2 linked regions of the Cricetulus griseus genome follow. The protein of the gene in region 2 binds, or shares a complex with, the protein of the main gene of each other region. Links are inferred from orthologs where the notes say so. Each region holds a gene or a part of one and is shown on either strand. Other genes may lie near its edges.

The links.
Region 1: Nhp2 (region 2) and Nop10 share a complex: the UniProt entries of both Homo sapiens proteins name them as parts of the H/ACA small nucleolar ribonucleoprotein (H/ACA snoRNP) complex. The link is inferred for Cricetulus griseus from reciprocal best matches to the Homo sapiens genes NHP2 and NOP10.

Annotation. Positions count from the first base shown.
Region 1 is NC_048599.1:66,084,179-66,087,227, forward strand, and holds Nop10 (H/ACA ribonucleoprotein complex subunit 3), read right to left. Parts: upstream 1,435-3,049; 5' UTR 1,347-1,434; coding exon 1,293-1,346; intron 1,041-1,292; coding exon 900-1,040; 3' UTR 670-899; downstream 1-669. UniProt on the Homo sapiens protein: Required for ribosome biogenesis and telomere maintenance. Part of the H/ACA small nucleolar ribonucleoprotein (H/ACA snoRNP) complex, which catalyzes pseudouridylation of rRNA.
Region 2 is NC_048600.1:65,901,435-65,905,707, reverse strand, and holds the start of Nhp2 (H/ACA ribonucleoprotein complex subunit 2), read right to left. Parts: upstream 2,929-4,273; 5' UTR 2,847-2,928; coding exon 2,687-2,846; intron 2,590-2,686; coding exon 2,520-2,589; intron 1-2,519. UniProt on the Homo sapiens protein: Required for ribosome biogenesis and telomere maintenance. Part of the H/ACA small nucleolar ribonucleoprotein (H/ACA snoRNP) complex, which catalyzes pseudouridylation of rRNA.

The sequences.
Region 1 (3,049 bases), on a different chromosome or scaffold from region 2:
AAGTTTGGTCAAAGACATTCCCACTTATGACAGCTGAACAAACAACTGTATAATTACTAAGAAGATTCACCTCCACACACACACACACACACACACACACACACACACACACACACACACACTTTTCTTTTTCTTTTTTTTTTTTGGGGGGGTTTTTTCGAGACCGGGTTTCTCTGTGGCTTTGCAGCCTGGCCTGGCACTCGATTTGTAGACCAGGCTGGCCTTGAACTCAAGAGTTCTGCCTGCCTCTCTGCCTCCTGAGTGCTGGGATTAAAGGCGTCGCCACCACCGCCAGGCTCCTTCCCACTCTTAAAATTGAGGAAAAAAACAAAAACAAAAACGAGGACTAAACAAGTTGAGTGCCTTTACTCCTTAAAGAGGGGGTAACAGTACCAGTTTCGTAACTGCCAATTAAGTCTTTATGCCTTTATTATTCTTTGAGGAATTCGGAATGTTATTTAAAGGGGCCACAATTTACTCCAGGGACTGGAGTATATTTTCAGTGAACGCTGACCTTTGTAGGAGTCTTTCTCAGCCTTTCTTCCCCAACACCCTAACACTCATGGCGCATTGCTACTTCAAAAGTGAGGGCTTACCATTGTTCTCAAGTGGCCTTGTACTAGCAACGGCACTACACTCCCCCATCTTTCCCTCCAATCACACACAAAATGAACTTTCAAGACATTGTCTCTTTAATAACCTGGCAGTAATTCAAAGCATAAAAAAAAAAAAAAAGTTAAGACTGTTCCTTTTACAGGCGATGCCCATCACGACAGACTCAGTCACGTAGTAAGATAGGATTCCAAACAGCATGGGAAGGCTTCACTGCTCACGGACTGACGCCTTTGGTTATTGATAATCGGCCTGGGGTAGGGCAGCACATGAAAATTAACGAACCCTCAGAGAACAGGACGCGGTTGCTGGGTCATGAGCACCTTGAAGCGTCTCTTGATGGTGATTCGGTGTCTTGAGTATTTGTCGTCAGGGGAGAACCGAGCAGGATGGGCAGAGCAAGTCTGTTGTCCCATAGGGTCAAATTTCTGCTCGAGGAAAAAAAGAAAATGATCTCAATACATGAGTGGTGTGCTAGCAAGGGGACAACAAGAAAATGGGAAAGCTGAAGCCAGGAGACGCGGCGGTCAGAACAAGAAGTCGTGCAATGCCGGCATCTACCACGTTTCGGCCCGGACGTGGCTCCAAGCACCCGGCTGCGCTGGCCGGCGGCCGGTTCCAACTGTTCCTCCCACCTAAATTTCTTGTCCTCCCGACTTACAGCTGTTTTCTCCCCTTACCTTCAACGTATAGACGCGATCGCCCTGCTCGTTGAGGTAATACTGGAGAAACATGACTGCAACTCAGCACGAAGATCCTCACTCTTCCGCAGCCAGGCGCGTTTGCCTGGAATACACCGCCTCAACCGTGTTCGCCAACATCCTTCCCATCTGACCGGAAGTCGGTACAAGGCATGCCGGGAAATGTAGTCCATTTCTCCAGTCATATCCAGTTGACCAGAAGGGGGCACAGTGGAGCAGAACTTGGCCTTGGTCTTCCCAACTAGCTACAACCTTGCAAAGTTGCCTTGCAAAGAGCCATGGAATTGCCCACTGTGTGCCAGGGACTCCCAGACGTTGGGAGGTAGGGATGGGTGTGGGTTAAATGTTGATGCATCCAGTCCTGTCTTTACTCTCAAATTGCTCACCCATTTCAGAGGCATTAGTTTTGTAGTTCCTGGAGAAACAAGGGTTCCAGGATACTCAACCTCCTATATCCTAGGGAAGATGTAAGATTTTTTTCAGACCCCCACTTTTACATCCGGTTCCCCGCCCCATTTCAAAGTGTTGGCGGTAAAGAGTGCATGATGGGTATTCGATATTATGCAAAGCGAAAAGAACGTAAAGGTTTTCTTATGAAACTGGTGAATTTTGTTTTAGAGGCTGCACCAAGATTCAAACTCAGGACCTGACCACAAATTCATCTCTTTCTTACATGGTGAGTAGCGAATAATATCACAGTAAGGTAACTTTCTTGGAGTATTTCCAGTTTTTCAAAGATAAAAAGTCTTATAAGAGTCTAGTTTAGAAAAATTAAAATTAAAACCAAGATATTGCAAAATGACCATTGTAGCACTATTCATAGTGGCAAAAATATTGTAACATATTAAATTTATAGCCAGAAAAACTTTAGTTTTTTTTCTCTTTTTTTCTTTTTTTTTTTTAGTAATGAATATAGTTGGTTTACTTGTCGTCTCATAAGATATATTAAAAAAAACTAGGGAGTTTAACACCGGCTTGTAACCCCAGAAGTCCGGAGGCTGAGGCGGAAGGATCTCTAGCAACCAGTAGGTTCAAGGCCGACCTGAGCAGTATTCGAGCAGTAAGACCCTGCTTTAAACTGAGAAACAAAAAGCCAAACGGTGTGTGTGTGTGTGTGTGTGTGTGTATGTGTGTGTGTGTGTGTGTGTGGTGTGTGTGTGTGTGTGTGTGTGTGTGTGTGTGTGTGTGTGTGTACACGTGTACACGTGTACACATGCACGAGATTTTGCGAGGGGCGGGAATGTACTAGAAACAGTTAATATCGGCATCTTCTGGCTTGGAGGAGGATTTGGTTACAGGGAAATGGATGGAAAGAATGCTTGCTGCTGCGTATTTTATTTTGCATGCCCTGGGTTTTTTGTTTGTTTTGTGTGGTTTTTGTTGTTGTCTACCGTTTAACACACACAGACACACACACACACCGAATTTTAGTCGTTTTCATCCTCCCATACCCTTTTATCTCCTTTTTTTCTCTTCAAACTTTTCTTAGTTTGACTTTTCAGCTATGCTAATCTATTAATTTAATGTAATTAATTTAATAACTTCAAAAAGTAATTTAGTGAAAGACTTTATGGTAATTTTAAGGCACCGGTTGTGACCAAGGACTCTAATTTATGCACTCAAGAGGCTAAGGCAAGACAGTCTTAGGTTTGAGCCTAGGCTACATAGACAGATTCTTGTCTCAAAAAATGAAAAAGGGACCGGAGAAATGGTTCAGTGGTTAAGAATGCCTGATG
Region 2 (4,273 bases):
CTTCCCTTTCAGTTGTTTAGTTGTAAGCATTACCTCCAGCTGGGCTGTGAGAGCACAGAGATAAATAAGATGCCCTGCCTCCAAGGAGTCCATGTTCATGACAGCCTCCAACTTTAGAAGGGAGTGTAAAGTCGTGTTTGGCAAATGTATTTCTTCTGGGGGACATGATCTCTATTTGACAGCACATAAATACCACCAAATGTGACAAGCGGTACAATGCTGGGACAGATGAGGTATGGGAGGAATGCCAAGAAATAGAAACTCAGCTCTTAAGTGTCAGTGACATTCTAGGAGATGACTCTTTTTTTGGTTCTTCGAGGCAGTGTTTCTGTGTACGATAGTCCTGGCTGTCCTGGAACTCGCTCTGTAGACCAGGCTGACCTCGAACTCACTGGGATCTGCCTGCCTCTGCCTCCCAAGTGCTGGGGTTAAAGGTGTGCACCACCACTGCCCGGCTAGGAGATGACTCCAACAGAGACTTGAGTGCCACAAATAGGCTCCTAGAATGGCAGGGGCAGGGACAGAATAAGGCCAAGGGAACAGAGTGGTACTGAAAGGCTGGTTGCCAAGAACAAGGGTCGCCTTTTGCAATACATACAGGAGAGGACCAAAAAACAAAGCCATAGAAATTGGCAGGGGTCTGAAAACAGACAGGGTCTGTCCCAAGAGAAAGGTTTTTTTTTTTTTTTTGGGGGGGGGGGCCGTTTCGAGACCGGGTTTCTCTGTGGCTTTAGAGGCTGTCCAGGCTGGTCTCGAACTCACATAGATCCGCCTGCCTCTGCTTCCCGAGTGTTGGGATTAAAGGTGTGCACCACCAACGCCTGGCTCCAAGAGAAAGTTTGCCAGAGTAAAAATGTCAACTAAAGTTGTGAGTTGTCAGTGTTCTGTACAGACCCATAGTCCTAATGATCCGCCCAGAGGAAGAATATTCTTTAAGGGTGAGTGACAGATCAAGAATCCTTGGTTCAAAACCCTGATTCCATAGTTCATTCCCTTTGGCCTAGCACTGGTCCTCACTGCCTGTTGCTTGCCTGCCCTCCCTTGTGCTCCCTTCTCCTTGGCTACCCTGACCCATAATCATGGTGCCAGGTGCCACCTGGAAATACCAGGCCTCGTTTGCCCCACCAAACACAACCATCTGTTAAGAGGACAGGGAAGCATAGCATGTCCAGGACATTTTCCATGTCAACTCAGGATGCCTCAGTGGATATAAGCACTCACTGCCAACCCCAGGTACCTGAGTTCGGTCAGTCCCCGGAACGGAAATGGTGGAGAAAATCAACTCTCCCAAGTTGTCCTCTGACACCCACATAAGCACCAGAGTGCACATGTATGCAACATATGTATGCAGGCACATACACATGTAATAAAGGTACCCTTTGAAATACTGAAAAGTTGTCTAAAACCACACCTAAAGTGTTTTCAGACAAACATGGTTTTCCTTCACTGTCTGCAGTCACAGACTACACCCCAAACGGGCGCACGGGAGGCACAGACCTGTCACTGTCCTCTCTAATCCTCCAACCTTCACTCTAGTCCCGACCCCTCACTTGGGCTACAGCAACAGCTTCCTAAGTCTGACTTGCCTCTCCTGATTCTTCCTCAATAGCACTTCTCAGTGTTCACTTTGCTTTGAGAACAAAAACCAAACAAGCCCCACAAGGACTAGAGAGGTGCCTCAGCTGGTCTTCCAGAGGGCCCACATTCAATTCCCAGCACCCACATGGTGGTACATAATCATCTGTAACTCCAGTCTAAGGGGATCTGACACTTTGCTTTCTTCTGATCTCCAAGGACACCAGTGACACACATATATGTTTAGGCAAAACATTCACACACAAAATAAGTCAAAAAGAAAAAAAAATTGAAAGGCCTTCATGAGATACTTCTCAGGATCCCAAACCCCCAAACCAACATTCATCCATTCTCTCCTTTGTTGTTAGTTTGAGATAGTGTATCTATACACAGTTCTGGCTGTCCTGGAACTCAAGAGATCTGCCTGCCTCTGCTTCCCAAGTGATGGATTAAACAAACGCCTGCACCACCACTCCCGGCTATCATTCTATCCTTTTGGTTTTTTGTAACGTTTTCATAGTCATGCTTGCTTTAAACTTGCTATGCAGTGGAAAGTAGCCCTCATTCTCCTCTGGCCTACTTGGGAAGATGTCTCCCTACAGCATGTTGCCTGAAGCTTTCCAGAAAAGAACTGCCAATCCACAGAACGAACGAACAGGGCGGGATACGTGGTCTGGGTTCTCTTCCCTGTAGTTCATTGGGAGCTCCTGTAAGTGATGTGGGTGTCTGTAGTGAAGGCAGTTCAGGCCAGAGTAAACTTCACCTTTACTGAGCACTTAAGTAGGTGTAATTCAGTCTTAACCAACTGAAAACGCAAACTCAAGTGGCAGAGTTAATTGTCTAGCATGCACAGGCCCTAGGTTCAATCCCCAGAGCTGCAAAAAAAAAAAAAAAAAAAACCACACACATAAAACTTAAAAACCAATGTGAGGATTGGTTCTTACCCTTTCTCGCCTTTGTTGACAAATTTCTGAACCTCCTTCACCCCACGCCGAATCTGCTTCTGCTTCACGGCTGCAAAGAGAAGGGTGAGCCGCGACTTCGTCCAGCCCGTGCCCGCCTGCCCGCCGCCCGCTCCGCCCCGCGTTCGCCACGCGCCCTGCCGCCTCACCCTTCTTGATGCACTTGTAGAGCTTGCGCGTCAGGCGGCGGGACGCCAGCGGCTGCGCGATGGGGTTCAGGTTGACCAGCAGCTCCTCGTACGTGCGCTCCTCGCTGCAGCCCTCCGCCTGCGCCTCAGACTCCTCCGGAACGGACTTTATTTTGGTCATCTTAGAGACTGCGGCAATCCAGTAGGTGAATACACGAACCACGCGGCCGCCGCCTCCGAGATCACTTCCGGGTCATGAAGCTGCCCTTCCCTGTGACCAATTGGGAAACGAGGTATTCTGTACCGTCCAATCTGTAAATATGTCTGCGAGGGGCGGGGTCTTGGCTGTAGGGGCGGAGTCACAAGGCAATCTAGGCACGGGGTTTGGATTTCGCCCGCGGTAGCGGAGTTTAGAGGTCGGGTTTCAGAGGGGAAAGGGGCGGGGCCTTTGGATAGAGAGGCGGAGCCCATAGGGATAGAGGCGGGTCTTGTCGGAAGGGAAGAGGGGCGGGGCGAAAGGAATTAATCTGTAGTGTGGCTCCTGAGCTCCTGGGCAGGTGTGACCTGATGCTACTGGTTAGCTGAATCCTGGTGCCGCTAAAGGTTTTTTCAAGTTTTCGTTTTCCCTTCCTGAATATTGTTGCTCAAGCTATAAGCCGCACGCCTTTGATCCCTGCACTGGGGAGGCAGAGGCAGGTAGATCTGTGTGAGTTTTAGGTTAGCCTGGTCTTACATAGTGAGTTCAAGGCCTGCCAGGACGACACAGTGAGACCCTCCTAGGGCAACATAGTAGGGTACTGCCTCAAAAGTAAAACAAAAGTAGTGATATAAATTCATTTATCCAGGCATCAGATTGAAACAGTGATACACACTGTTTCAAACAGTCTTGCCTGAGGCTATGCTTTCAGGAGCCATGGCAATCAGCCAAAGTGCTTATATCATTTTCTGAAGGCATTATAGAAAGTACCAGCTGAGCTAGCTGGCCTAAAGGAGGCCCAGGTGGCTGTGAGACTGACTGTCCTTTTGCTCCAGGCAGCCAGGGCAACAAGGGAGAGTCCAGCTACTAATGAGGGAGTCAAACTGCCCCATGCTTTTTTTTTTGTTTGTTTGGTTTTTCAAGACAGAGTTTCTCTGTGGCTTTGGAGGCTGTCCTGAAACTAGCTCTTGTAGACCAGGCTGGTCTCGAACTCACAGAGATCCACCTGCCTCTGCCTCCTGAATGCTGGGATTAAATTCGTGCGCCACCACCGCCCGGCCTAGTCCATACGTCTTTAGAAGAAAATCAACATCAGGAGTGCTTATGAATATAAAGAACTTATTAACTACTAGTGGTGTTTTTTTCTTTGTGTGGGTTTTTTGTTTGTTTTTGTTTTTGTTTTTGTTTTTTTGAGTCAAAGTCTCATTAATTAGCCCTGCCTGTCCTGAAACTCACTATGTAGATTTTGATGGCCTTAAACTGAAATAGATCCACCTTCGCTACTCCCTGAGGATTGGGATGAAAGGTGTACACCATTATTATTTATTTTTGAGACAAGGTTTCTCTGTGTAGCCCTAATGGTTCTGGAACTCTGTCTCGAGCCCTTACCAGGTTTTGACCTGGGAGGAATG